2 linked regions of the Mus musculus genome follow. The protein of the gene in region 2 purifies or fractionates together with the protein of the main gene of each other region. This does not show direct contact. Links are inferred from orthologs where the notes say so. Each region holds a gene or a part of one and is shown on either strand. Other genes may lie near its edges.

What was found.
Region 1: the proteins of Fam117b (region 2) and Dyrk1a purify together in Homo sapiens (affinity purification with mass spectrometry; 8 studies listed by BioGRID and IntAct, counting the BioPlex papers as one, with this or other methods). This does not show direct contact. The link is inferred for Mus musculus from reciprocal best matches to the Homo sapiens genes FAM117B and DYRK1A.

The regions. Positions count from the first base shown.
Region 1 is NC_000082.6:94,685,103-94,688,921, reverse strand, and holds part of Dyrk1a (dual specificity tyrosine-phosphorylation-regulated kinase 1A), read right to left. Parts: coding exon 3,581-3,819; intron 2,444-3,580; coding exon 2,319-2,443; intron 1-2,318. UniProt on the Homo sapiens protein: Dual-specificity kinase which possesses both serine/threonine and tyrosine kinase activities. Exhibits a substrate preference for proline at position P+1 and arginine at position P-3.
Region 2 is NC_000067.6:59,978,716-59,982,455, reverse strand, and holds part of Fam117b (protein FAM117B), read right to left. Parts: intron 1,048-3,740; coding exon 729-1,047; 3' UTR 1-728.

The sequences.
Region 1 (3,819 bases), on a different chromosome or scaffold from region 2:
ACCTAAAGTGAACAGGCAGATCAATGACTTCTGTAAGGTAGGTGGGATATACAACTGTGTTTTTCTGGGAATTTCTATGTATGTTTGTAGTACATAGACCATATACATACATGAAAGAGAGGAACAGAGGATGGTCCAAAAAAATTTACTAAGTGTGAAGTGTGCCACTAAGCCAACGCAGGAGGAATGAGGAAAGCGTGGGAGGCCCAGCATGGCACAACCCTCAGAGTGAAAGATCTCAGTGTGTGCATTCTGAGTGCAGAGAATAAAGAAAGGCCTGGGTAGGGGCAGAGCACAAAGACAAGAGGTTCTACACGTTAGTTAGGTCCAGGTACAAGGGAAACAAGGGCTATGAAAAGCAGGGGAAATAAACTAGCCTGGAGTAGCGAGGTTCAAGCATCTGCAGAGTTTCCTCAGGCTGATAAGCACTTAGTCAGGGCACAGGAAAGAGTGTGCTTTAGTGGAAGACAGGACACACATGGTTCCTGCAGTGGAAGGGCTAATTATATATACATAAAATCAGAATTCACACCTCACTAACCTGGAGACTAACATCCTGGACCTGAATCTATGACAGTAAGTAAGTGAAAATAGGACCATTGTTACAAAGCAACAGGTACAGTTAAGAGTCTTCTTACTGCTCAAACTTGCAGAATGGCATTTACAGTAAGCCCAACACAACCCAGAGGTCAGTGTAGTCAGAGGTAAGTAGGAAGGAATGCTTTAAAAATGGTGACTGTAATGACTGGCAGTAAGGGGTGAGACCAAGCAGAAAGCATGTGAGGTCATCTCAAGGCATGGTGGACAGGAACACTGCCCCCCAAAAGACAGTTAAGGGAGGGGGAACAAAGAAATGGAGAACCAGACACATGCTGCCAAAGAAACCAGAGGTAATTCAGTGTATGTGGATTAAGTCAACCCTGCCAAATACTACCAGGCAACGACAAAGGAAAACAGGGGAGTCCTCTGGACTATCAGTGAGGACTGTGGCTGACACAGGGCCTGCAACTGGGACCAGGAGTTAGGTGCACTGAGCTGCTGGGCTGCTGAAGACAAGTGTGAAACTCTAGGAATGACAGTGTGGTGAGGGAGAGTTACCACAGGCTAGAACGATCAAAGACTCAGTGCTGTTCAACAGAAGGAGCCAGAGCCCATGAAGACAGGAGACATGGGCCTGGCCTTCAACAAGAAGCCCAGTGAAAGCAGAGAGAGGCGAGCTGTGAGAAAGCCCGTCTACAGCAGTGCAGTCTGAAGATTGCACACAGAAGAGAGAGTCACAGGCCTCTGCCTACGAGTGGACAAGTTGGAAGTAATTCACAGACAATAGGAAGGAGAAGGGGTCCTCTGAGGATGGCCGCCTGAGACTGGTGAATACTAACAGTGAGGACAGAACAATGTGACAATTTCTCCAGCAAAACCAAGTGGCCCAGTCACAATTAAGGAATGAGCACCAATCTAGCTCAGGTTTTCCTTACTCTATCAAATAACCGATTGGCACGCTCAGAGCCAAAATGTAGCCCACAACGCAGAGGAAATGTCTCACTGAGGTCTTATGGTTTTGTCTAAACAGTAAACACCTTCCTCCTGTGCTTGAATACTTGGTCCCCAGCTGGCAGCCAGGGGCAGGGGTGAAGGCCCTACTGCAGGAGGCTGGCTTATAGAGTAGGCCTTGAGGCTCTATAGCTCAGCACAGCCCCACCCATTTCCTGTTTCTTAAATGCAGAGGCCTCCTGACCCTACCACTCTGCTTTTCCCTGCCTGCCATCCCATCTTCCCTGACACAAGGTATCATTTCCTTTTGAACTGTGAGCCAGAGTATACCCTGTCATCCTTACACTGCTTCTGTCTGGGTATTACCACAGCAATGAAATATAGCTAGGATGGCATCTCCACATTTCTATCCTACCACATGTTCTACACTAACTTTAAAAATTACTTTAATATTACAAGTTTAAAAATCCAACACAAACTGATTCAGAATCAGGGTGGGAATGCTGGAGGCCACAAGAAGTAACGTAGGGCCCAGACTGCACAGCTCACAGAGAATTAGTGCATCTAGAGGTCTCGGCACCCACTGAGAGGCAGGGAGGAAACTGCTGTGGCAAATGAAAAATAAACCTGGAGTAGATGGCTAGAAAGACGGTGGTGTGTGTACCCAACACATGCTCTCATTTCTAACAAGGAGTGGAGTTTTTATTTCCTAAGCAGTGAGGATACCACACACCTTTAGAAAAGAGGACACAGACATGGTCGTCCTGACTGGCATCCAACAAAGCTAAAGCTAGCAAGGCCATGGCAGGAGCACTAGGAACACTCACCTGGGGACTGTGTGTCTCACAGTCCATGGCCTGGACAGCAGCAGCGAAGTGTCCACCGCTGTGTCGATGCTGGTGCGTCGGATCCGACCTGGCTCTCCCACTGTTACTCGTTCCCGAGGATCCACCTTTAATATCAGGACATGGAAAAACTTGTGAGTTTAAAGCTAATTTTGCTCGAGTTAGAACTCTAAGACTGCATTGTACCCACTCAAGCATGGGGTAGAGAGAGTACGCAGTAAGAGCAGGAGCAGAGCTAGGACTGTGTGTGCATCTCCAGCCTCTGTATAAAATCCTGGGCTGACTGAACCCCGGGACTTGGGTGAGGGAGTGCCAATCCCAAGACCTCACTAGCCAGGCAGGCAGCCTGGATACAACAGCAGGCCTCTGGGGCACTGGGACTCTTATTTCCAAGTAATAAGGAAGACAGTGAGGGAAGACACAGTGTCAAGACCCACATGTGACCTTAGGTGCACACATATGCACGGTTAGGTATATGCACTACTTAACACATATACAGACACATAAAACTTTCAAGCTATGGTATTAACTTGAAATATACCACAAAGTAATTGGAGTCTTAGATGTCTTCCCACATCAACTGCTAATACAGCCAGGTTCTCCTCAGTCAAGTAAAAACTTAAGGACGTGGAAAAATAACTCCATTTAAAACCATTTAAATTTTTGGCTATAAGTAGCTTTGTTTCTAACTGTCAGGCAGACAATTATAACGAACACATCTGACAATTAAATTTGCTACTAACCATACAGGTGGGGAGGTGTGTTTGAGGGTACTGAATTCAGAGCCACACACACTAAGAACATATTGAAGTAAAATAATCCCTTGCTACCCATTTACAAAATTCAAAAAATTAGTTTATAATAAACACTCTGGGGTGGGCAGTGGGGTGGGGGGGGAGGGTATGGGGGACTTTTGGGATAGCATTGGAAATGTAAATGAGGAAAATACCTAATTAAAAAAAAAATATATATATATATATATATAAATACTCTGAAAGAATTCCACATTGGAGTTGGGCAGTGGGAACATGTGTCTTAAATCCCAGCACTCTGAAGGCAGAGGCAGGAGGCGATCTCTGAGTTTGAGGCCAGACTAGCATACCAAGGGGGCGTCCAGGATAGCCAGGGCTACACAGAGAAAACCTGCCTCAAAAAACCAAAAAGGAGGGGGAAAAAGCCTCCCACCCGAGTAAGCAGAGAGAAAGCATGCACAAGCGAGCGGGCCGCGCTGCGCCGTGGCGGACCTGAGCTGGAGGAGGTGCTGGAGGTGGTGCCTGAAGACTGAGACTGCTCCATCGCAGGGCTGGTAGACACACTGTTACTTGTGTTGGTACCTTCATCAGCTGTTTTCTTGAAAAAACTGTGCTGCAGGGCATAATAAGGTTGAATCCGAGTTTTGGGGTCATAATCAAGCATCCTTAAAATGAGGTCTTTGAACTTCAAGTAGTCAGCTACAGTATGACCCGATTCCCCAGCACGCCGC
Region 2 (3,740 bases):
GAATAGTGCAGAAAACAGCAGTTTACAAATACTTCACTCAAATCACAAACTGTTGACATCAAAAAAACATAAATCACATAATGTACAAATATTGCTTTTTATCTTTTTATATATACTTGGTTCAATGCATTACCTATCAATTCTTACTTGGGAGAAGAACAGTCATGAGATTGACATTGCTGGGGAAATGTCAACAATCCCTTTGGTCCCAAAGCTGAAAACAGCCGAGAAAAGCAATATCTAGAAAAAGGAAACAAGAAACAGAGGCCACCAAAGGATCATTGGAACATCTTGTTTGTTACTTTCAGAAAATGTGACATTGGTATTATAAAATAGTCGTTTTCATATAAAAGATGATTTTCTTGCAGCATCGATCACATCTCCCTTCAGAAATCATGTTTGCAGGGATCCGGTTTTGTATTTTGTTTTTAAACAAGTCTAATTTGAAACAAATGAAAATGTGATTTTTGTTCCTCCAAAAGTAAAGAAGAGACCTTTCAGGTTTCAGCTAGTGCTTCAAGGCCAAGCAGGTGAAGCACGTCTGTGGCCTTCATGCGCAGGGCAGAACACTCAGAGGACCACTAGTTCTTCCAGGAGCCTTGCTGTCACACCTCACTGGAAAGCCAAAGCACTTCACAGCCAACCGGGAGGACAGGATACCACATGATACCACAGTCACGTGATCTGCAGGGTTCTTAGCTCCCAGCACCCATTGCTTGAGCTGAGCCCTATCCTTCAGCTTCCTCAATGGGTTCTGGTGGTGCATGGAGGGAGGCGGATGGCAGGACTGTACTGGTTCCTCGAGATACCCGCTCTTGCTCTGTGTTTGTAGACAGGGAGGCCATAGAGATGGGCTGGAGCAAAGTGGTGGTCATGCCAGTGGTGACGGTCAGGCTGTGACCAGAGCCCTTGAGAGTAAGATCTGGTGTAGGGAGAAGTGGTTTGAGGATACTCACGAGGCAGAAAGCAGAGCCACTTTTAGGAATGAAATTCACCTTGTTTTTGTCAGGACAGTAAAAGGCTGGAATCTCATGAAGTTGTTTTGGCCTGCATACAAAACAGACAACCCACTCTTGTTAAGTCACTCAATACTGGAAATAAACTTATCATTAGAGAAAATAAGTCAATAAAAGATATATAAGGACAACTGAATCTGTCAGAAATGCCAACCTCAAAGGACCTAAATATTACCAGATATCTGACTCAGTGTTGTCAGGCACTCCCTTCGAGGGCCCTGTCACTAAGCAGAGGTCAGGCTGACACCACTTCATTTAATAGGATCTAAGATAGCCAATAGGAATATGGATATCCTAAAGCAAAAGAAAATCCACATGCATAGAGACAAATATGTTTCCAACATGATTTTTTATGAAGGGAGAAGACAAAACAATGGACTATATAAATCGTCTGGTTCTGTTTTTGCTAAATTCCACCCTACAGGACTATGCCCTGATAAGCAAAGGCTTTCTTTTCATGTATTCTTTACTTGTTTGTTTTGGGTTTTGTTTTCTTTTTTTGCTATGTTTTGTTTTGTTCAAGAAAGGTTCTTACTATTCAGCCGTGGCTGTCCTGAGCTTGCTATGTACACCAGGCTGACTTTGAACTCACGGAGATCCACTGCCTCTGCCTCTACAGCACCCAGCTTAAACTAAAACATGCACTTCCACATCCAGTTTTATCTAGTATAAGTAAAAATTTCTACATCAATTATAGAGATTTTCAGAGAAATGAAAGGTAAATGTGAAAGCAAAATAATGGAAAGCTTGTTGGGTTGCTTTAGTTTTTCTGTGATGGAGGGAATGGAACCTGAGCAGACTTTGGCCAGCTCCAGTGTATTGAGCATGGTTTGGCAGGCCTTGCCTTTCTAGCCCATTTTCCACCGTTGAGAGTATATTCCTAAAGCTAGCCACCCAGGTCTTTCCCTTATTTGGCCACTTCCTCCTCCTGAAGCTGACTATCAAGGTGCAGCAAGCAAAAGCCTCCTTTGGCTCACTTAATTAATATGCTCAATTAAAAAGAAATTTCTCATCCTACTTTGGGGTTTCCCTTGAACTTGTGTAAACTGCTGTCCCCTCTCTCTCCAGAGACAGTCCTTTTCCTCTAGGACAACCACCCCTTCTCCCTCTTGTTCCCTTCCTCTCTCCCTCGTCCTCTATCTTCTGTCTCTTATTCTCTACTCTCTGTCTTCTCTGGGGCAAACTAAAATTGCTGAGAACTTGGTCTTGGGGTCCTGAGCTGATTCTGTTCCTTATAGAACCCACCCAGGAATTTTAACCACCAAGTTGTAATTTAGTCTTCAAAGTTTTTTCCAAAGCAAACTTCTTCCCTGTTGCCAAAACCTTCCAAAACTATCCCAAAACATTTTTGTTCTTAGTGGTATTCCATGAAAATTTAAAAATTACAAATAACATAGTAATGTCACAAAATTAAAATAAAATCAAGGTGAGAAGACAACTTCGATGAAAAAAAAAAAAAACCCTGTTATCAGATGATAAAAATATTGTTTTCCTCTGCAAGATGGATATAGGTGATTGTTGCCAAGCTTGGAAGTTGAGTTCAACTCCTAGAATCCAAATGACAGAGGAGAGCCAACTTCCCTAGCTGTCCTCTGGTCTCCACACACACTGTGGCACACTCACCCATGCACCTGCATGTTTGCACACTGTGTATATAGAATCAATCATTGGTCATTCACATCTCTCCCAAAGACAACTGAGTTCAGTAAAGATGTCAGTGTGCCAAGCTGCAGGAGATTCTAAGAACAAAGTTCAATCTCTCTACGAGCAGACACGACACTAAAGAGTTCTTGGGAGGGGAGGCTCTACAGACAAACCCATTTCAATATAATCAGTTTCCTTTATAATCTGATATGATTTATGGGTTTAAAATGTTACTTAGACAAGGGAACCCATATCTTGACTGAAAGACTGTACCTAGCACAGGTGACCTGCAGGAGAGTCTGACAAACATGGTAAATTAAGGTTTGTAAAGGTTTAGATGCAACATGGGGGAGAGCTAACCTGTGATAGAGCCAAGAATCTGAAAAAAGGAAGGTCTCCTCAAACCTGTGAGCCAGCTTTAAAGAAGTAAATAACAGACTTGGTGACGGGGCTCCAACAATGTGTGTGTTCCTAACGATGCTGGGTTCAGACTCCACTGGCACTGAACACCCCAAAGACTGCAGTACAGGCAAAGAACAGAGGAAAACAGCGTTTATTTAAATCAATGGGAAGAACAGGTCAAGTACTGGCAGTATCTCTCACAAATGTTTCTGGGTGTTTTATGAAAAGAATCATACTCAATTTTTTCTAGACTCTCACTTATAAGAAAGTCAATGTTAACCTCTCTATAATAAAATAATGTTTAAATCTGAAGACAGGTTTATTAGAGATGTTAAGTTTTTATACCTCCATCTAAATAAAGACTTTTTTTTAACCTTGAACTTCTGATCTTTCTGCTCCCACTGAGTACTGGGATTACAGACGTGGCTTACCATGCCTGTCTTGCGGGGTACTGAGACTTACACCCAGGGCTTCCTTCACACTTGGCAAGCATCCTACTAAGCTATATCCCTATCACAAAGGACTAGGTTTGTCATTAATTTATTTGCCTGATGTCACCTTATTTAAAATTATTTGACAAGGCTAGGGATATTTGTGCTGTGTCTGGTTTAAAAGAAATAAATGGCTTAAGATATATGGCTCCCAGAATGAAGCTTGCATTTCCACACTACAAAAAGT